Caenorhabditis elegans: one gene and its partners. The protein of the gene in region 1 interacts with the protein of each later gene in a pairwise test. Each region holds a gene or a part of one and is shown in the gene's direction. Other genes may lie near its edges. The genes, in order: txt-1, ZK688.9, Y74C10AL.2 and txt-18.

Region 1 (3,509 bases):
ACTCTTGAAACTTGAAACTTTTCCCGATTCCAGAAGAACTATGGCTTCTGAATCGTCGCACGATGATCCAAAGTATGAAGCACAGGAAGCTGATGCAATGCGGAAGTTGGCGTTTTTCGGTGAGTTTACTCCATAGTAACAAAATGAATGCCTGAACTTTTAAGGAATTGCCATATCCACTGTTGCTACATTAACTGCAATAATGGCAGTCCCCATGCTCTACAATTACATGCAACACGTTCAATCTGCATTGCAATCTGAAGTATGTACTTGTTATTCTGAATTCGTGTTGTTATTATTATAATTTCTTTTTTTTAAAGGTAGATTTCTGTCGACACAGAACAAATGGATTGTGGGACGAGTACAATAAAGTAAGAGTTTTTTTTCGGATCAAAAGGAATTTTCTTTTATTCAGTTTGAATCTGTTGCGGGCGTCCGTAGACGCATCAAACGCGCGACATATCAAAAATCAAATGGAGTCACCGGACGTCTTGCTCATCGTCGTCGGGCAGTTGCTCGTGGCGCATCTAGCTACGATGGCGGATTTAATGAAGAAGTTCCAGTTGGAGGTGGTGGTGGTGGAGGAGCATGCTGCTCTTGTGGAGTTGGCCCACCTGGTCCATCAGGAGCTCCAGGAACAGACGGGAATCCTGGAAATGATGGGTCTCCAGGAAATCCTGGAACACCCGGACAAGATGCAGTAGGAGACGAATCCCCGACTGCTGCAGATTTCTGTTTCGACTGCCCAACAGGACCACCGGGACCACCTGGAAAGCAAGGACCTAAAGGACCAAATGGAGAACCAGGCGCTCCAGGAACTCCAGGAGGAAATGCACTTCCAGGACCACCAGGTCCCCCTGGACCTCAAGGTCCACCGGGAGCCGATGGATTACCAGGTACATTAGCATATTTGAAAAAATCTAACGAAAAACGTTTCAGGTAACCCCGGGGCTCCAGGTGTTCCAGGCCAAGTTATCGAAGTACCAGGTACTCCAGGGCCAGCTGGTCCACCAGGTCCTCCAGGCCCAATCGGCCCACCAGGACAGCCAGGAGCTCCAGGAAGTTCCCAACCAGGACCACAAGGGCCACCAGGAGACCCAGGAATTGATGGAGCTCCAGGAAATCCTGGATCTCCAGGAGAGCCTGGACCACCAGGACAACCAGGAGCTGGTGGTGGATGCGATCATTGTCCTCCACCAAGAACTGCTCCAGGATATTAATTTTCTGAACTTTAAGCCGACTGTATTGTCTTTCATAGCCCTATTTCTGTTCAACCGGTAGATTTATTCGATAAATCACAATTTTTTAATCATAATGAAAATTTATTCACGAAAATGATCACGTACTTGATCTCAAACTTGAGTTTCAGGTACTCCATGTGTAAAGTCATTTCATCAGTTTCAGTGGGTCTAGGTTTAGAGAAATATTGGTTTTATCAAAAAATTTTGACACAGTCACGTTTGGTGAATTTTCTAATTCAAAAGACAACTTTATTTTACTACCGGACCCAATCATACTCCATTATAAAATTACATACTCTTTATTAAAGTTCTCCACAAATTAAATCAAAATTTTGAGTGTTTAAAAAGCAAAAACTAATAAAAAATAAATAGAAAACCACGTCCAGTTTTTTAATAGATCACGCCACCACGTCACTGAAGTCTACATTTTCCGTAAAGAGCTTTCAATAAAATCATTTCAAAAATCAGAACAAGTAACGTGGTTCCTTCAACTCTTTCTCTTATTTTCAAAAAAATGAGCACTACAGGATCTGCACCGCCCAATTCAAAACTTAAATCAGTTGAGGACACGGATGATGATAGGGTGAGTAGACAGGGGTGGGTGGCAATTGCCGGTCGACAAAATTTTTGTCGGCACATTGCCGGTTTTTTGCCGATCTGCTAGAAATTTCCATTTCCGGTAATGTGCCAGTTGCCCGAAATTTTCATTAAAATTTTCATTTTGACATTGCCGATTGCCGCGCACCCCTGAGTATTAATGCTCTTCACATAAACATGGCTACTTCAGACTCTCGCTGAAGACGATCAAAACGATCAAAACTCTGGGAGTATGGATCACCGATTTGAGAGAATCAAGGTGACACTGATGATGACTCAGGGCAAGAAGTTCGGACTTGGAATAGTATCTGTTCATCAACGTATACTGGTCTGCAAAGTGGAAAATGGTTAGCGAATACTTTTATAGACTCTTTTCTAATTGGTAGACATTTCAGAATCTCTAGTAGCCGGGGTTCTCAAGTACGGAGATCAGATTATCGAGATTAACAAGAAAAACGTCTTAAACAAAATTGATTGTAAGAAGCGGTTGATGCAATGCCTCAAGGATAAAGGACAAGTTGATATTATCATTGTGCGCCCAAAGACTGCAGATGCTGTTACCATGATTGAAGTGAGATTGTGAATTTAACACAGGGGTGGGCAACAATTGCCGATTTGCCTGAAATTTTCAATTCCGGCAACTGACCGGTTGCCAATTTGCCAGAAATTTTAAATTCCGGCAATTTGCCGGTTTGCCGCCCACCCCTGATTTAACTTGACTGATTTTCGGCAGGAACACTTAAAACTGTGCCTTTTTGAAACGTTTTTTTCTTTTTTCTTTTATGTTCTCATAGAATTTGCTTACTTTTCAAAATAGATGTAGGAACATTCTTAGGATGTGTAAAACGTAGCCGAGCGTAGCCGATTCCGATTGAAATTGAAATTTTGAAATTTCCAAAAAAATTGCTGTTTTTCCGGCAAATTTGCCGGAAATTTTCAATTCTGGCAATTTGTCAATTTGCCGAAAATCTCAATTTCGGCAAAATTGTTTGCCGTCCACCCCTGATTTAACATGATTGATTTTTTAAAATTATTTTTCAGCAAGAAATTCAACTCTCGCAACAACCGAGCACTACTGCACAGCCAAAGATCAATTGAACTTGTATAATGAATAAAAAGTATAAGTACAGAATTAAAATTGAACTTTGGCCCCATTCCAGCAATAAATGTTTTGTAACAAATAATAATCCCCAGTCACAAAAATAAATAAGTTTTCCCCTTCCCCCCACTTTCACTTCTCTGGCTTTTCTTTTTCTGTTTCCGTTTCTCATCTAGAATTCCAAATTCCACGACATATTGTTTCTGTTGCCTAAAAAATGTGTATTGGTTTAGTGGTTAGTTTAATTTAATCAAGAATGGCGCCATAACATTCAAATCTTAAGCTGCAGCCAACAACAAAATGCATTGATGAGATTTAATCAAATTTCTCTGCTCTTATTTTTGTAGTTCTCATTCTTTAAAAAAATATTTTTAGCAACTTCACACACTTCAATTTCATGTGTTTTATAATATCACCCAATCCATTAATGCAGCTAAATATGGAGAAAGCGCTCGGCTTTTCTGCCTTGCCTGGCTGAAGCCTCAGGCGGCAATTAATGGAGCTCTGAGAGCAATAGAGAGATGAAAAAGTTAAAGCGGGCGTAAGAGACGCAGATGGATGGGAAACTGAAC
Region 2 (4,147 bases), on another chromosome or scaffold:
GAGGTGTCTAGGAGGCAATACTAATTATATATTATAACTCACATATATTTGATGAACTAAAAGCTGACCAGAAACTATTATTTTCTGCAGAGAGAGTGAAATTGTCGGGGACCAATAACCCAGATAAACCGTTTATAATATAGCCAAATGAAAATCAAATTTGTATAGGTTTCAACTCAGTTTGAGCAGAAATGCCAATTTTTTTAAGAATACAAATTCTACTCAATTTCTCATTCTAGGCAAATTTATAAATCTCAAATTTAAGTAGATCCACATCGAATTTGTATAAAGTTGAGCCGAATTTAAATTCATAATATAGGTATGAGCAGTTTTATATTCGTTGAAATCTATACAAACTCGCTTTGAATGGCTATTTAATAAACTTTTATCTGAGAAGTTTCATAAAGTTTATTTCAGAAAACCCGAGATGTAATTGAATCGGATCTTGTTAAAATGCGTGGCTATAAAAGGAACATAGGAAGTCGAAATCAAGAAATGACCATGAAAAATGTTGAAAAAAAGGTCTGAAAACTTATAAGCCGACCATAACCTATTAGTTATTACAGGTAGAGCAAATGGGAGCAAAAAACGAAGAAATGTTCTCCATGATTTCAAAAATTATGCAAAAACCAAATTCAACAGGGCATCTTCAATGGGATTCACAAACTCTTGCCGATTTAATGAACAAATCAGATAGTTTTGATGATGATCAAGAATCATTAAATATGCCGCGGTTAGCGAAATAGTGAGGTTCGAATTTTACTTAAATTCATCGTTTCAGCTCTTCTGAATCTTCTGCCATGTCAGTTCGTAATAGAACGTTAGAACGCCAATCGGAACCGGTTCGGAAATCTCCAAAAGCAGCACCAAAAGTTAAGAACGAGGCAGGAATAACAGCTTCTTATGTATTTTATCGATTTCTTTTCATGTTTATCGCAATCTTTGTTGTTCCTTTCATCACTTCGTATTTCAGACAATAAGGGTAGAAATGGTTCGAAAAAATTCCTTTGTGATATTCATTCAAGCTTTAATTTTAATTTTCACAATCGATCGATTAATCGACTTGTTTCCCCTTCTGTTCAGCTAGCTTAATGCCATTTTCATATGATCTTGCCGAATGTAGACTGTTCTTACAGTTGTGATACACTAAACAATTTTAAAATAAATTCTTCAGTTTCATGTTTTCAATTTTTGTAGATATTTTTGTAGACGCATTTTCCAATTAGCACTGCAAATTGGAAATGGCCTAGGAAGTTGCAAAATCTAGTCCCGCGACCGAATCGCTTTTGTACTGAATTATAAATTCGAATTAATTCATGAATTGGTTTCGTTGATCTTTCGCGTTTTTCGATGTTTTTTCGTTATTTTCGATGTAATTTTTTAATGAAAAATTAGAATAACTAGTAATATTTACCGGATAATCAAAAACCTCTGCGAAAATCGATCATAAGAGCAGAGAAAAGAAAAATACGTCTAAATTTTATCTATAAATTGGGCTTCTTGTTCAAAATATTTCGAAACTTTTTCCTCGTTTTCTAGAATAAAAATGATTTAAGCAGAAATAAGTTGCAATAGATTTTCCTTCAAATTCAGTAAAAAAATGAGTTTATTTTTGGGCAAAACGTAATTTTTCCGCGAATTTTAAAATTCTAAATTTTCTAGTGTTTAGTAAAAAACGTTTAGATATGAAAAAATTATGCTCATTCCGAATCTGTTGCAATAAACTTTTATTTTCACAGTAAAAACAGTTTTTTTCAGGTCACTTCAGAAATGTCAGATCGGAGAAGCATTGACGAGGTGATGGTGCGAGCTGCAAAAAACGCAAAACGAGAGGAAAAGTTCGATCTGGGATTTTTTAAATTCATTTCACTGGCTGGACACATTTTGGAGAGCTCCTGCAAGCATTCAGAAGATCAAGAGGATCCGAGTTGTTTGGTAGGGGAAAATTTCTGATTGAATAGTTTATTCGCAATTCTAAAACAACTTTTCTGCTAATTAACAACAAAATAAAAATGCTCTTGCCTAAATGTGTTCATTCAACAGAAATGCAAATATGACCGGGAGTTGAAACTTGAAGAGCGCCCGGAAATGGTATTCGCACGAAATTCTCTGACAATCCAGTTCGGTCGACTCGGTTCTATCGAATTCAACGCGCTGGATGCCCTCAAAATGGTTTGTGCGGATCGTCTGCCCGATGTAAAAGTTGGTGCGTCGACAGTATGGCAATCTGCAAGACAAGATCGGATTCAGCAAATATCGGAACATCAGAAGCCGTTTGACTGGACCTATACTACACATTACAAAGGAACTGTGACTGGGTGTCAGGTTAGTTTTTACTTCAAATATATGATATTTAATATTACCCCAAGTTAAAATTAAAAAAATCAGTTGTGTCAAGTATTTGGAGAAAAAAAATGAAAAGTAAAATTTCAGAATAAAAATTTGAAAATTTCTCCAGGTCACTCCTACAACTGAACGAATCGATATGGAACGACTGAAAAGACGCGACGAGATTTTGTTTTCATCGAGTATCACATTGTTTGAGGACGAATTGGCAGATCATGGAATCGCTCAGGTTTGTAATATTATTCAGATGCAAAATGTCCCGATTTTCGATCGAAAAGTAGGGTAGCCGGTCTCCAAGCGATCGATTCTCTATAAGGAGTACTGTAGTTATCAACATTTTATTGTTGTTTTCCTATTGTTTTCTGTTTCTTCAAAACTTGATGTATTTATATTTTCACATTTTTCAAAAAATAAAAAGAGGAATATAACTCATAAAATCACTCGACAATGAGGAGTTGGCAACTACAGTAAACCTAGAATCGCTTCAAGACCGGTTACCGTATTTTTAATGCGAAAATCGCAATATTTCGCATCTGGGTTATCATTTACTATATATAAAGCGCTTATTCCGTTTGTCCATAGTTTGTAGTCTATGTAGTCTTTGTAGTCTGCGAAGTTTTAGCTTCTGGAGGGATAGTGAGTTGGGGTTAGTGTAGGGATATAGTCGGCGTACTGTAGTGGTACAATGGTGGTACGGTAGGAGTACTGTATGATTACGGTAGTCTCAGAAAAATTGGTTTTCAGCTCCAGAAGTCGGGCGCCGCGCCGGAGGTGCGGTCCACGGCTGGTATAAATATATTCATTTTTCAGCTTTTGGCGCGAGTTCGTGTCATGCGCGGATACTTTTTTGTCCTTCTTCGCTTCTACATGAGAGTTGACAATGTTCTTCTCAGGTTGGCCTTTTTGAGAAAATTTATCTGCTATAGGAGAATTTGCTTCAAAATACCACAGAATAATAATTTACACAATTAACAGAGTATGTGACACCAGAATTGTTGGCAACGAATTCGATGGACATGTCATTCGTGAGTGGCAACTTCGAGAAGCAAAGTACGGGAATCTTGGTCACGTTGATCCGGAGGAATTATTAGATGTAGACAGAGCATGGATGCATCTTCCAGTTGTTGAAGAGCACTTTGATCGTGTATCAGTTGATCGTGAACGCCTTTTTTGAATTGTCTCATTAATATTTTCAAATAGATCTCTCCTTTTTTCCACTAACATTTCGATTGTTCCTGTTTTATTTCAATTTTCGTGATACTGGCTTAACGATTCGGAAATAAAAATTACGTTCGTTTGTCAAAATTTCGGAGTTTTAGAATTCATAAAACTATCTCCGATGAGAAAAATTAAAAACTATGAGAAGCTAGAAGCAGGCGCAAATTTGCAATTTTTGTTAAACAATACGGTGCCCGGTCTCAACACGACAAATTTTTGTGAAATGCAAAAAGGGAGCGCCTTTAAAGAGTACTGTATAGTTTATCTAACGATTTGTTAACACTGATGTATATATACAACACATGTACAACATTAGAAATACATAAATTTGAAAAACTCGGAATATCACTAAAAGTGTCTAAAGACGCACACCTTTTTGAATTCAACAAAAATTTGTCGTGTCGAAACCGGGTACAGTATTTTTAACGGTAAAATCGCAAAATTTCGCGAGAGCATATGTTTTCCTCTGGTTTCTCATGTAAAATGTGCAAAAAACCGAAACCCACTCAGATTTCAAATACACATACACACACTCATCTACACATTTCTTTTGTTGTCTTTTGTCTGGAGCTCACTTCATCCA
Region 3 (5,566 bases), on another chromosome or scaffold:
TTTTAATAAAATTTTGAATTTGGTACAAAACTTCACAACTCTTCCGAATTTTGTTTTTTTTTCAAATTTTTTCGGGCAAATCCCAAAAAATTAAAGTTTCACTTTTTTTTTCGAGCAGTTTTCAACTTTTTTTTTCAAAATTTCTCATTAAAATATGCTACTCCTAATTTTCGATCGATTTTCAGGGTTACGAGACGCTTGTCGGTGAGAGAGGACTAAAATTGTCTGGAGGAGAGAAGCAGAGAGTTGCAATTGCTCGAGCAATTCTTAAAAATGCTCCATTTGTTATTTACGATGAAGCCACATCTTCACTGGATGCAATCACTGAATCAAATATTATGAAAGCGTTAAAAGGAGCCGTCGAAAAACGAACATCTCTTTTTATTGCACATCGTCTGGCGACAATTGTCGATGCTGATATTATTTATGTGCTTCAAGATGGAAAAGTCGCTGAAAAAGGATCACATTTTGATCTTTTAGCGGTGGACGGGCTCTATGCACAACTGTGGAAGTCACAGAATATTCATGGAGTTGCGGTACGGTTTTTTTGTTGAAAAACCGTTAAAAATAGTTTTAAAAAATAAAAAATTGAGCCAGAAATGTCGGAAAATTGCAAAATTTGCTGTTAAAATTGAATTTTCTAGAAAAAAAAAGTTTTGGAAGTTTTTAAAAACTAGAAAAAGTTCAAAAAGAAATACACATCTTCTCCAAAAAATTCGAAAAACTAGTCGAAATTCAGAATATAAAAGTTTTTTTTAAATTCAGAATATTGTTTAAAAATTTTTTTGAAAAATTCGAATTTTGGCAAATTTATAAAGCTGGAAATTAATTTTTTCTGAAAATTTCCAAATAAAAACCGGAATTTCGAATAAAATGTCATTGCTTTTCTGAATTTTGAGAACAAAAAAATGTCTAAAAAAATGGCTAAAATTTCGAAAAATTCAAATTTTGGCGAATTTTTGAAGCTGGAAATTCATTTTTTTTTTCAATAGACAATTTCCGAACAAATTCGACCGCCTTTCTCAATTTTGAGCCCAAAAAAAGCCCGAAAAATGGCCAAAGTCAGCAATTTAATCCAAAAATAGCCAGAATAATGGCAAAAAAGCCCGAAAACTGGCGAAAAACTCAAAAAATTTTAGCCCAAATATGCCAGAAAAATGGCAAAAAAAGTAAACATTTTAGGCCAAAAAACCCCGAAAAATTGCCAAAAAGCCAGCAAGTTAAGCCAAAAAAAGCCCGAAAAAACTCAAAATTTTATGCCAAAAAAAACCCGAAAAATGGCAAAAATCCCAATTTTTTAGCCATAAAATCCCGAAAAATGGCAAAAATCCCAATTTTACAGCCAAAAAAGTCGAAAGAAGAGGACGACGATCTGATGCTTGAACTGGATCTTGACAAGTGTTGCGGAAGTTCCAGCTGCAATCGATAAATCAATTTTCTAACATTTTTTTTTCTTTTTATTTTCTAGGATTCCATTTATTTTTTTTTATTTTTTTGATTTGTTAAGTTAAATTTTCCTTTTTTTTTGCATTTTTTTCCCCTAAAAACACTTTTTTTATAAAATTTTTTTTTCTAGGATCGGGTGTGAAAATCTGTGTTCTTTGTTCTTTGTTCTTTGTTTTTTGCTGTAATTAGATCGTTTTCTAGATAATTTCTTTTTCTCAGTTCCCCCCGTTTTCTTAGGTTCCCTCATCACTGTTGCTCATGTCTTGTCCCCAAAAAAAATACTTGTTTCAATTTTTTTTCTTCAAAATTTCTCGATTTTCCATTTTTTTTTTCTCAAAAAAAAAAAATATTTCATTTGTTTAACTCAATTTTTTTTGTTGGAAGATTTTAATCGTTTTCTACATTCGATTTTTTTATATTTTTCAAATTTTTAACCCCATTTTTCCTCCTAATTTCCAATTTCAGAGCGAGAGATGTCTGGCTGCTTTGACCAGATTCGATGCAATTGCTCGTTTGATTTGGAGGGGCGTAGGTGAGGAATTTTCGATTCAAAAAAAAAATTGAAAATCCGTCAATTTTGAAAATGTCCTCAAAATTGTGAAAAAAAATCAATTTTACAAGTTTTTTTTTTAATTTTAAAAACTCTGAAAATTGAAGAAAAAAAATTCAAAAAGGATTTTTAAATTGCAAAAATAAATATTTAACTCAATTTTTATAAAATTCATGATTTTTGAACTTGTAATTTCGAGTTTCCGCAGTAAATCAAAAAAAAAATCTAATTTCAAACATCAGAATAATTGAAAAAAAATTGGATTTTGGAATATTTTTCTCAATTTGGGATGCTAAATTCAAAAAAATAGAAAATTAATTTTTTTCACTAAAAACAGCTAATTTCAATAGAATGAAATTTTAAAAAATTAACAAAAAAATAAGAGGAAAATTCAAATTTTTCTTTTAAAAAAAATCGAAAAATCATTGGAAATTAGGTAGTAAAATAAACGAAAGTTTACCTTTTTTTCGAAAATTTATTTAAAGAATTTAATTAAAAACATTCAAACATCTGATAAATTTTAAATTTTCGAATTTTATTCCTAAAAATTACTAATTTTTTTTGGCAAAAATCGACGAAATTTGTTAGTTTTATTCTAGAAATTGATAAAAAATTCCAAATTTTTACGTTTCTTTATGGAAAAATGTCTTAAAAATTGGCAAATTATGTCTCAAATTAAAAAAAATAAAAACGAAAAAAATTAATTTTAATAAAATTTTATTTCAAAAATTGCGAATTTTCGAGCAATTAAAAAAATTAAATTTTAATCAAATTCCAAATTGTTCCAGAAACGCCGTTGCCTCTGTCGTCTCTGCTGCACTGTTCTTCATTGGCTGGTGGCTGATGATCGATACGGCGGCAGTTACCAATAAGGAAAATTGGACAAATGTCTACTTTATCATTACAGTTGCAAGCACAGTTGCAATGTTCATGGTTAATGCTATTTCGAATAGCCAAGTTCGTGGCGAGAGCCTCCATGAGGGACTTCTTGGGACAAAAGGTGCTTTGAAGCGAAAAAAAAAGAATTTGCGGAAAAATCTGAATAAAAAAAAGGGAAATTGCATTAAAAAAATCGAAAATATTTTTTTAAAAAATTTTTGTTTTGAAAGCTGAAGCCAAAAAAAATTTTTAAAAAAATCAAAAAAGCGTTCGTTTTTTTTCAAACTTTTTTGAATAATTTGACAAAAAAGCGTTGAAAAAATTTGAAAATCGAAAGTTTCAATTTAAATTTTAAAAATCACGAAAAAAAATATTTAGACGATAAGAGCTATGAATTTTTCAAAAATATCCTGTTTTTAATTGAAAAAAATTGAACATTTCTTCAAAAAAAATAAATGAGCGGAATTTTTCCCAAAAAGTTAGATTTTTGAAAAAAAAAATTTTATTAATTTTTTTGTTGTTTTTACTTCGATTTTTTAGAGAAAACAATTTCACAAGACATCAAAAGTGTGAATTTTTGTGAAAAAACTGGCTATGAATACGTTTTTCAGAAAAATCAAGAAAAAATTTCCAATGAAGTTGTAATTTTTTGAAGAAATTTTCTACAAAATGACGGTTTTTTCATTAAATTTAACATTTTCAACTTTTTTTCCCCGATTTTCACTGAAAAACACTACAAAACTTTTATTAAAAATTGAAAAAAAAAACTGAAAATTCCTTTCAGAAAACTATCTTAATTTTTTCATTAAAATTAAAAAAAAATAGTTTTTCTGAAAAATTTCGTATTTTTGATAGTTTTCCGTTTTTTTGGTTTTGAAATTTTTATTCCAGAATTTTTTATATTTTCAAAAAGTGAAATTTTTCTTGTTTTTGAAGAAATTTGTTGATTTTTCCATAAAAAATTGGATATTAAAAAAAAATTATAGCTCACTTTGATTTTTTAAATTTAAATTTAAAAAATTCAACAAAAAAAATAAAAAAGCGAATTTTGTTTAATTTTTTCCAATTTTTTGAACAAATTCCAGTAGTTTTTCATATTTTTCGAAAAAAAAGTTTCCAAAAAATCAGAATAAAAACGACGAAAATCAAACAAAAAGTATTTATTTTTTTGAAAAAAATTGATTTTTCCATTAAAACTGGATATTTTTGGAAAATTGCTTTTTTTTTTAATTTTAATTTTAAAAAATTTTCAAAAATTTTCAAAATTGTTTTTCAATTTTTCAACAAAAAGAATATTTTTTTCCCAAATTTTTGTATAAAAATCTGGGCATTTTATATATTCTCGATTTTTCGAAAAAGTTTCCAGAAAAGTTCATAAAAAATTTTTCCAGGATCTCGTCTCTGATTGATGGCTTTTTTTTTCTCTAAAAAATCGGAATAAAAACTAAAATCAAAAGAAAAATTAGAATATTTTTGAACTTTTTTTTGTTGAAAAATCCCACATTTTTTTGGATTTTTAAAATTTAAATTATGTTTTTTTTTTCAAAAAAAAAAAGTGAAAATAAATCTTTGAAAAAAAAGTTTTAATTTAAATTTTAAAAAATCGATTAAACATATTTAGACGATAAGAGCTATGAATTTTTCAAAAATGTCCTGTTTTTAATTACAAAAATCGAAAATTTCTTTTCAAAAAAAAAAAATTACAGGAAATTAGAACAGCTTTTGGAATTTTTAAAATTTAAATTAAATTTAAAAAAAAAGCGAAAAAAAATTTTTTTTTCAATAAAAATTCCACAATTTCCAGGATCCCGTCTCTGGTTGATGGCCGCCTTCGTCGTCTCGTTCGCCTCTCTCGTTGCCGCCACGTGGATTCTCTTCTCGGACTATGTTCTAATTCAAGGATCTCACAGTGTCTGGCCAGGCGTTGCCCTTTTCCTCACCAACTTCATAATTTTCGCTTCCTCATGTGTCTACAAATTTGGACGTACCGAAGAGATGTGGGGATAAGCGCGGATGCTCCTGGATTCGGATTTTATTCTCGAAAAAAAATTCAAAAATTTTCTCTTTTTTTTCATATTCCACTACTTATTCGTCATTTTCCTTGTCCATTTCCCTTATTACAGTACCCCATTTTACGTACATTTATAACTTATATTTTTTCTGTAAATACATAGTAATTCTTTGAGCCATTATCTAAAGTTTCAGCGAAAAAACTGGAAAAATCGGTTGAATTTTTCGGGGAAAACGAACAAAAAAAATTTTTTGGGCCGAAAATTGACAAATTCTTGATTTTAGATTTTTCCTTCTCAATTTAAAATCGAAAAAAATTCCAAAAAAAGCTGAAAATCGCAAATTCCTTTTTTTTCTGTTTTTGAGTCAATTTTTGTAATTTTTCGGCTAAAAATTTTGGCAAAAAATGCCAAAATTTTCTGAAAAATCCACAAAATCCCCCATAAAATTTAGATTTTTTCCAAAGAAATAGCTTTTCACCAAAAATATCTTTTGAATTAGAGTTTCAAAAAAAATCTAGAAATTTTCCAATTCTCCCTTTTCACTGAAAGGGAGAATTTCGAAAATAAATTTTTTTTTTCGCGAAAAAATTCGTAAAAATTGCGATTTTTTGTTGCAAAATTTTATTTGTCTCCAAATTTTATTCCAATTTTTGCAAGAAAAATACACCAAAATTCCGAA
Region 4 (3,615 bases), 6.2 Mb from region 1:
GGGACTGAAAAGTGGGCGGGGTCTGACTACTCTTCGAGTCACCGCGCACCGAAGAAGACAAGGTGATTGAATGTGTGCAGCTGCTATCGTCATTTTATTAATTTTTTTTGGAAAAGTAATAAGCTGAAAAGACGAAAAAAATCGTTAGAAGCTTTGGAATGTGAATGAAAGAGAAATAGAAACATTGTCAGATGGGCGGAAACGAGAGGCAGGTGGTGTTGTGACGCAAATGGAGAAGAATGGAGCAGCAAAATCCAAAAGGGAAATAGTGAATAAAAAGAAGAGATTGAAGATGTTGTCAAGGCAACAAAGACCGGATAAGGTGTGATGTACTCTTGTGGTCTGAAAAAGGGTATTTTCAGAATTATGTTGTGGTTTCAAAGAGTGTTTGCTTACTATGTTCAAGTATCTATAGATCTCTAGTAGTCATAATTATTTTTTGAGCTGTTAAATATCTTAAAACCTTCGTAGAAAGAACAATTGTTTTCTTGTACGTCAGCTATGATGGACAAGTTAAAATCTTTCCAACTGACCAATTAAACGTTCACACATCATTCCCTTTGTTTACACTGACTTTTGAAGAGAACAATTCGTAATTGATATACTGAAAAACAAATGAAGAATCGCATGGAATCAATAAATATATTTATTATTGTTTACTGCCAATTTCCATACAAAAGAGAAATATTTTAGGATCATAGGAGAGATGGGTATTGCAAATGGATGTTTAGATGGGAATGGCTTCAAAATGGTTGAACAAATCGAGAAAGATGCATTGCAGAGAATTATGTCGGCAGATTCGGCTTAAGCCTTCCACTTGGCGACGGTGGCCTTTGGATCCTTTCCATTTTGCACATCGTTACGTCCATCCTTTGTTACTTCAGTACCGTCTGGCTTGACGATGATGAGAGCTGGGATTCCGGAAACTCCGTACTTGGTGGAAAGTTCCCTGGAAAAAACTAGTTAAAGAGGATTTTATAGAGTTATAACTTACTTGATGGCATCATTTCCATATGGGATATGGTACCAATCACCGTGCTCGCTCATATACATTTTCAGATCACTCTCGCTACGATCGAAAGAGACGAAGACGACCTCGAACTCATCTTCAACCTCCTCATAGAAATCCTTGAGAATTGGTGTGAAGCCGCGGCACGGTGGGCACCAATGAGCCGAGAAGTAGAATCCGACGGCCTTTCCAGCTAGAGCTTCAGTTGCGTCGACCAACGTTTTGTCGCGTTTTTCAAGTTTCACTCCAGCCAAAAGAGACATGTTCTTTCCTGAAAATATATATATTGGAGAATCAATATAAGAGTTGAGAAATTGATAGAATGGGACAAGGAGAGTTTAGTCCTAGGGTTTTTATATGAAACTTTCGGAACAAAAACTAAGGAAAATGAGGATGATGCGGAGGATGAGTCAATATCTCTATGATGAAATGTATGAGGAACATGTGTTGTTTTAAGATCAACAAATATCTTTCACTTTTAGTGATGTTGGTTTTGAATATTTTGAACTAGTTTTCCATTTCATTATTGGAATGAATTGTATGACAATCTACAGTAAATTGAATTCGTGATGAAAAGAAAGAATCAAAACGAAAAACGGGGGGAGTTGTTGGTGTTGTCAACACACAACACTCTGACAAAACTGAGAGAGATGTTGGAGAAGGGAGGAAATAGTTTACAATAATTGGAGATTTTGAACTGGGTCGCTCGAAACGAGTCTTTTTCTCGACGCTCTAAAATCTGCGTCTCAAATTTTGCGCACTTTCATATATTTTCTTAGCATTTCTTCACTTTCTAATAACATCTGGCGATCCCGATTTTCATAAGTTTCTCCACTTTTATTTCTAATATTTGGTCTCTACCGCTTTGAAAATATGGAGAAGTTCATAGTAAGTCTGAAAAGCTAGGATCTACGTTTTTCACGTGGTTTTCCAAATCAAAAAAATTTAGGATTTACTAGAGTTTGGCTCAGCGGAGCAGAAACGAAAAATGGGTCGACCATCAAAGATCCCTCCTTTCTCACATTATGACGCGTATAGAAGATCTGACATCGACTTTTTCATATCATTGTTTTCTGGAAGAGAAGAATTATACAGTCCGTGCAAGAAGAATAGTGATTTTCGACAGAAAGCGTTTTATATTATAGAGAAAAAATGTGGACATTTTCTTGCAATGAGGAAAGGTTAGTTTTTAGTTTTGAAAATGTGATTTACGAAAAGAGAAAGACTGTTTTTGATTTGGACTGTAAACATGTGAACAGGAATAAACATGTTTATGAACACCACATCAACTTACAGGTAGAAACGCCGAAAAGTTATGGTTATACCTATTCAATGATTTTGAAAAAATGATTAGAAATGGTGGTGATAAGAATGATGAGAAGTCCAAGTCTATAGTTCCGTTCTACGATTGTCTACAATTCCTTATTCCTTATTTGGAAAAAACAGACAGGTATGAAATGATCTAGATTTCCGAAACGGAAACCTTTTTCCAGCTTGTCAAAATTGACATTAACGACTTGCAATGCAGAAGCCGATGATCAACAAGTAAAAGCAAAAAAGCCAAAGATTGAGCATGAGCTATCAGAAGACAAGTTGAATGGTCTGAACTGTGATTTAAAGTGTATGTAAATTACAAGTAATTTTTCAGATGACTGGCTTCAAAAAGTTATAGATACGGTTACATGTCAGCAATCTACAAGTTGTACAAGTATACAATTGAATTCTTCGGCTCCTTCAACCTGCTCTGCAAAAACACCTAACTCAACAGCAAATCTACCAACTTCTGAAAAACACGCAGACATCATAGCCTATGTAACAAACTTTTTAGAAGATGTGCCAAACGACAAGTTGATGCTTCACAAAGTTCGATTATTCCAGTTTATCGAAGAAGAAAAGTCTAGGTTGAAAGAAGAAAGTAAATAAATTGAAAGGAATGATAAAAAAGAGTATAGATTGGAAGTGATAGTCTATGACTAGAAAGCGAGACACTCTTGTTTGTTTATTCATGATCATGGTCTCTCCTATATGAAACCACTGAATTTTTGATCGCAAATACTTTTTTCATGGAATGAACAGGTTACTACGAAATGCTCCGAATATCTTCTGATTGTGTGATCTATATAAGAAACATTAGTGAGCATATAAAAACGGTATCTTAGTTATTGAAAAATTTACTTGAATGCTAAACTGGGCTTATACTTTCGACTGACTTTCATCGTACACTATGGAATTGATATCTAAAAAATAAGATGACGTGGTGGTTGGTTAACCAACCATGTTAACCAACCAACCATGTACAACTAATCAAAAAGTAAACGTATAATACCCGATCGCAACGAAACAACTTTCGTGTTTATCAGGTCACCTGCTGAGAAACTTGCCAAATTTTTCAGTGTTTCACTACCTTTTGGGTCGACCGACATCTGCGCGGCACTCGTTGCTGGTTGTTTCGAATTCGAATTCGCCGTGTTCCCCATCACAGTCAAGTAATGATGGGGAAACCGATGAGATAACGAATACACCGTTCAAAAGGTAAAGGTCACGTTTTCGATCGAATTTTGCGATCAAATTGAAAAAAATAAGAAGAAGAAGAGATGGCAGAACAT

The links.
Region 2: the proteins of txt-1 (region 1) and ZK688.9 interact in a two-hybrid assay, tested with the Caenorhabditis elegans proteins (one large-scale study listed by BioGRID).
Region 3: the proteins of txt-1 (region 1) and Y74C10AL.2 interact in a two-hybrid assay, tested with the Caenorhabditis elegans proteins (one large-scale study listed by BioGRID).
Region 4: the proteins of txt-1 (region 1) and txt-18 interact in a two-hybrid assay, tested with the Caenorhabditis elegans proteins (one large-scale study listed by BioGRID).

Annotation. Positions count from the first base shown.
Region 1 is NC_003280.10:104,503-108,011, forward strand, and holds txt-1 (PDZ domain-containing protein), read left to right. Parts: upstream 1-1,686; 5' UTR 1,687-1,755; coding exon 1,756-1,824; intron 1,825-2,028; coding exon 2,029-2,185; intron 2,186-2,233; coding exon 2,234-2,409; intron 2,410-2,879; coding exon 2,880-2,936; 3' UTR 2,937-2,983; downstream 2,984-3,509. Other genes in the region: col-68 (Nematode cuticle collagen N-terminal domain-containing protein), read left to right, coding at 41-119, 165-262, 321-371, 416-896, 940-1,220.
Region 2 is NC_003281.10:7,880,613-7,884,759, reverse strand, and holds ZK688.9 (TIP41-like protein), read left to right. Parts: upstream 1-1,759; 5' UTR 1,760-1,770; coding exon 1,771-1,935; intron 1,936-2,043; coding exon 2,044-2,325; intron 2,326-2,458; coding exon 2,459-2,575; intron 2,576-3,156; coding exon 3,157-3,239; intron 3,240-3,321; coding exon 3,322-3,520; 3' UTR 3,521-3,647; downstream 3,648-4,147. Other genes in the region: ZK688.11 (uncharacterized protein), read left to right, coding at 418-522, 567-733, 782-980.
Region 3 is NC_003279.8:2,468,281-2,473,846, reverse strand, and holds Y74C10AL.2 (Transmembrane protein 50A), read left to right. Parts: upstream 1-1,911; 5' UTR 1,912-1,919; coding exon 1,920-1,978; intron 1,979-2,784; coding exon 2,785-2,996; intron 2,997-4,679; coding exon 4,680-4,882; 3' UTR 4,883-5,054; downstream 5,055-5,566. Other genes in the region: abtm-1 (Iron-sulfur clusters transporter ABCB7, mitochondrial), read left to right, coding at 186-536, 1,343-1,429.
Region 4 is NC_003280.10:6,342,426-6,346,040, forward strand, and holds txt-18 (transcellular chaperone signaling (x)cross tissue), read left to right. Parts: upstream 1-1,646; 5' UTR 1,647-1,882; coding exon 1,883-1,897; intron 1,898-1,958; coding exon 1,959-2,190; intron 2,191-2,305; coding exon 2,306-2,459; intron 2,460-2,502; coding exon 2,503-2,609; intron 2,610-2,657; coding exon 2,658-2,932; 3' UTR 2,933-3,090; downstream 3,091-3,615. Other genes in the region: C32D5.8 (protein-disulfide reductase), read right to left, coding at 805-949, 995-1,280, 3,414-3,486.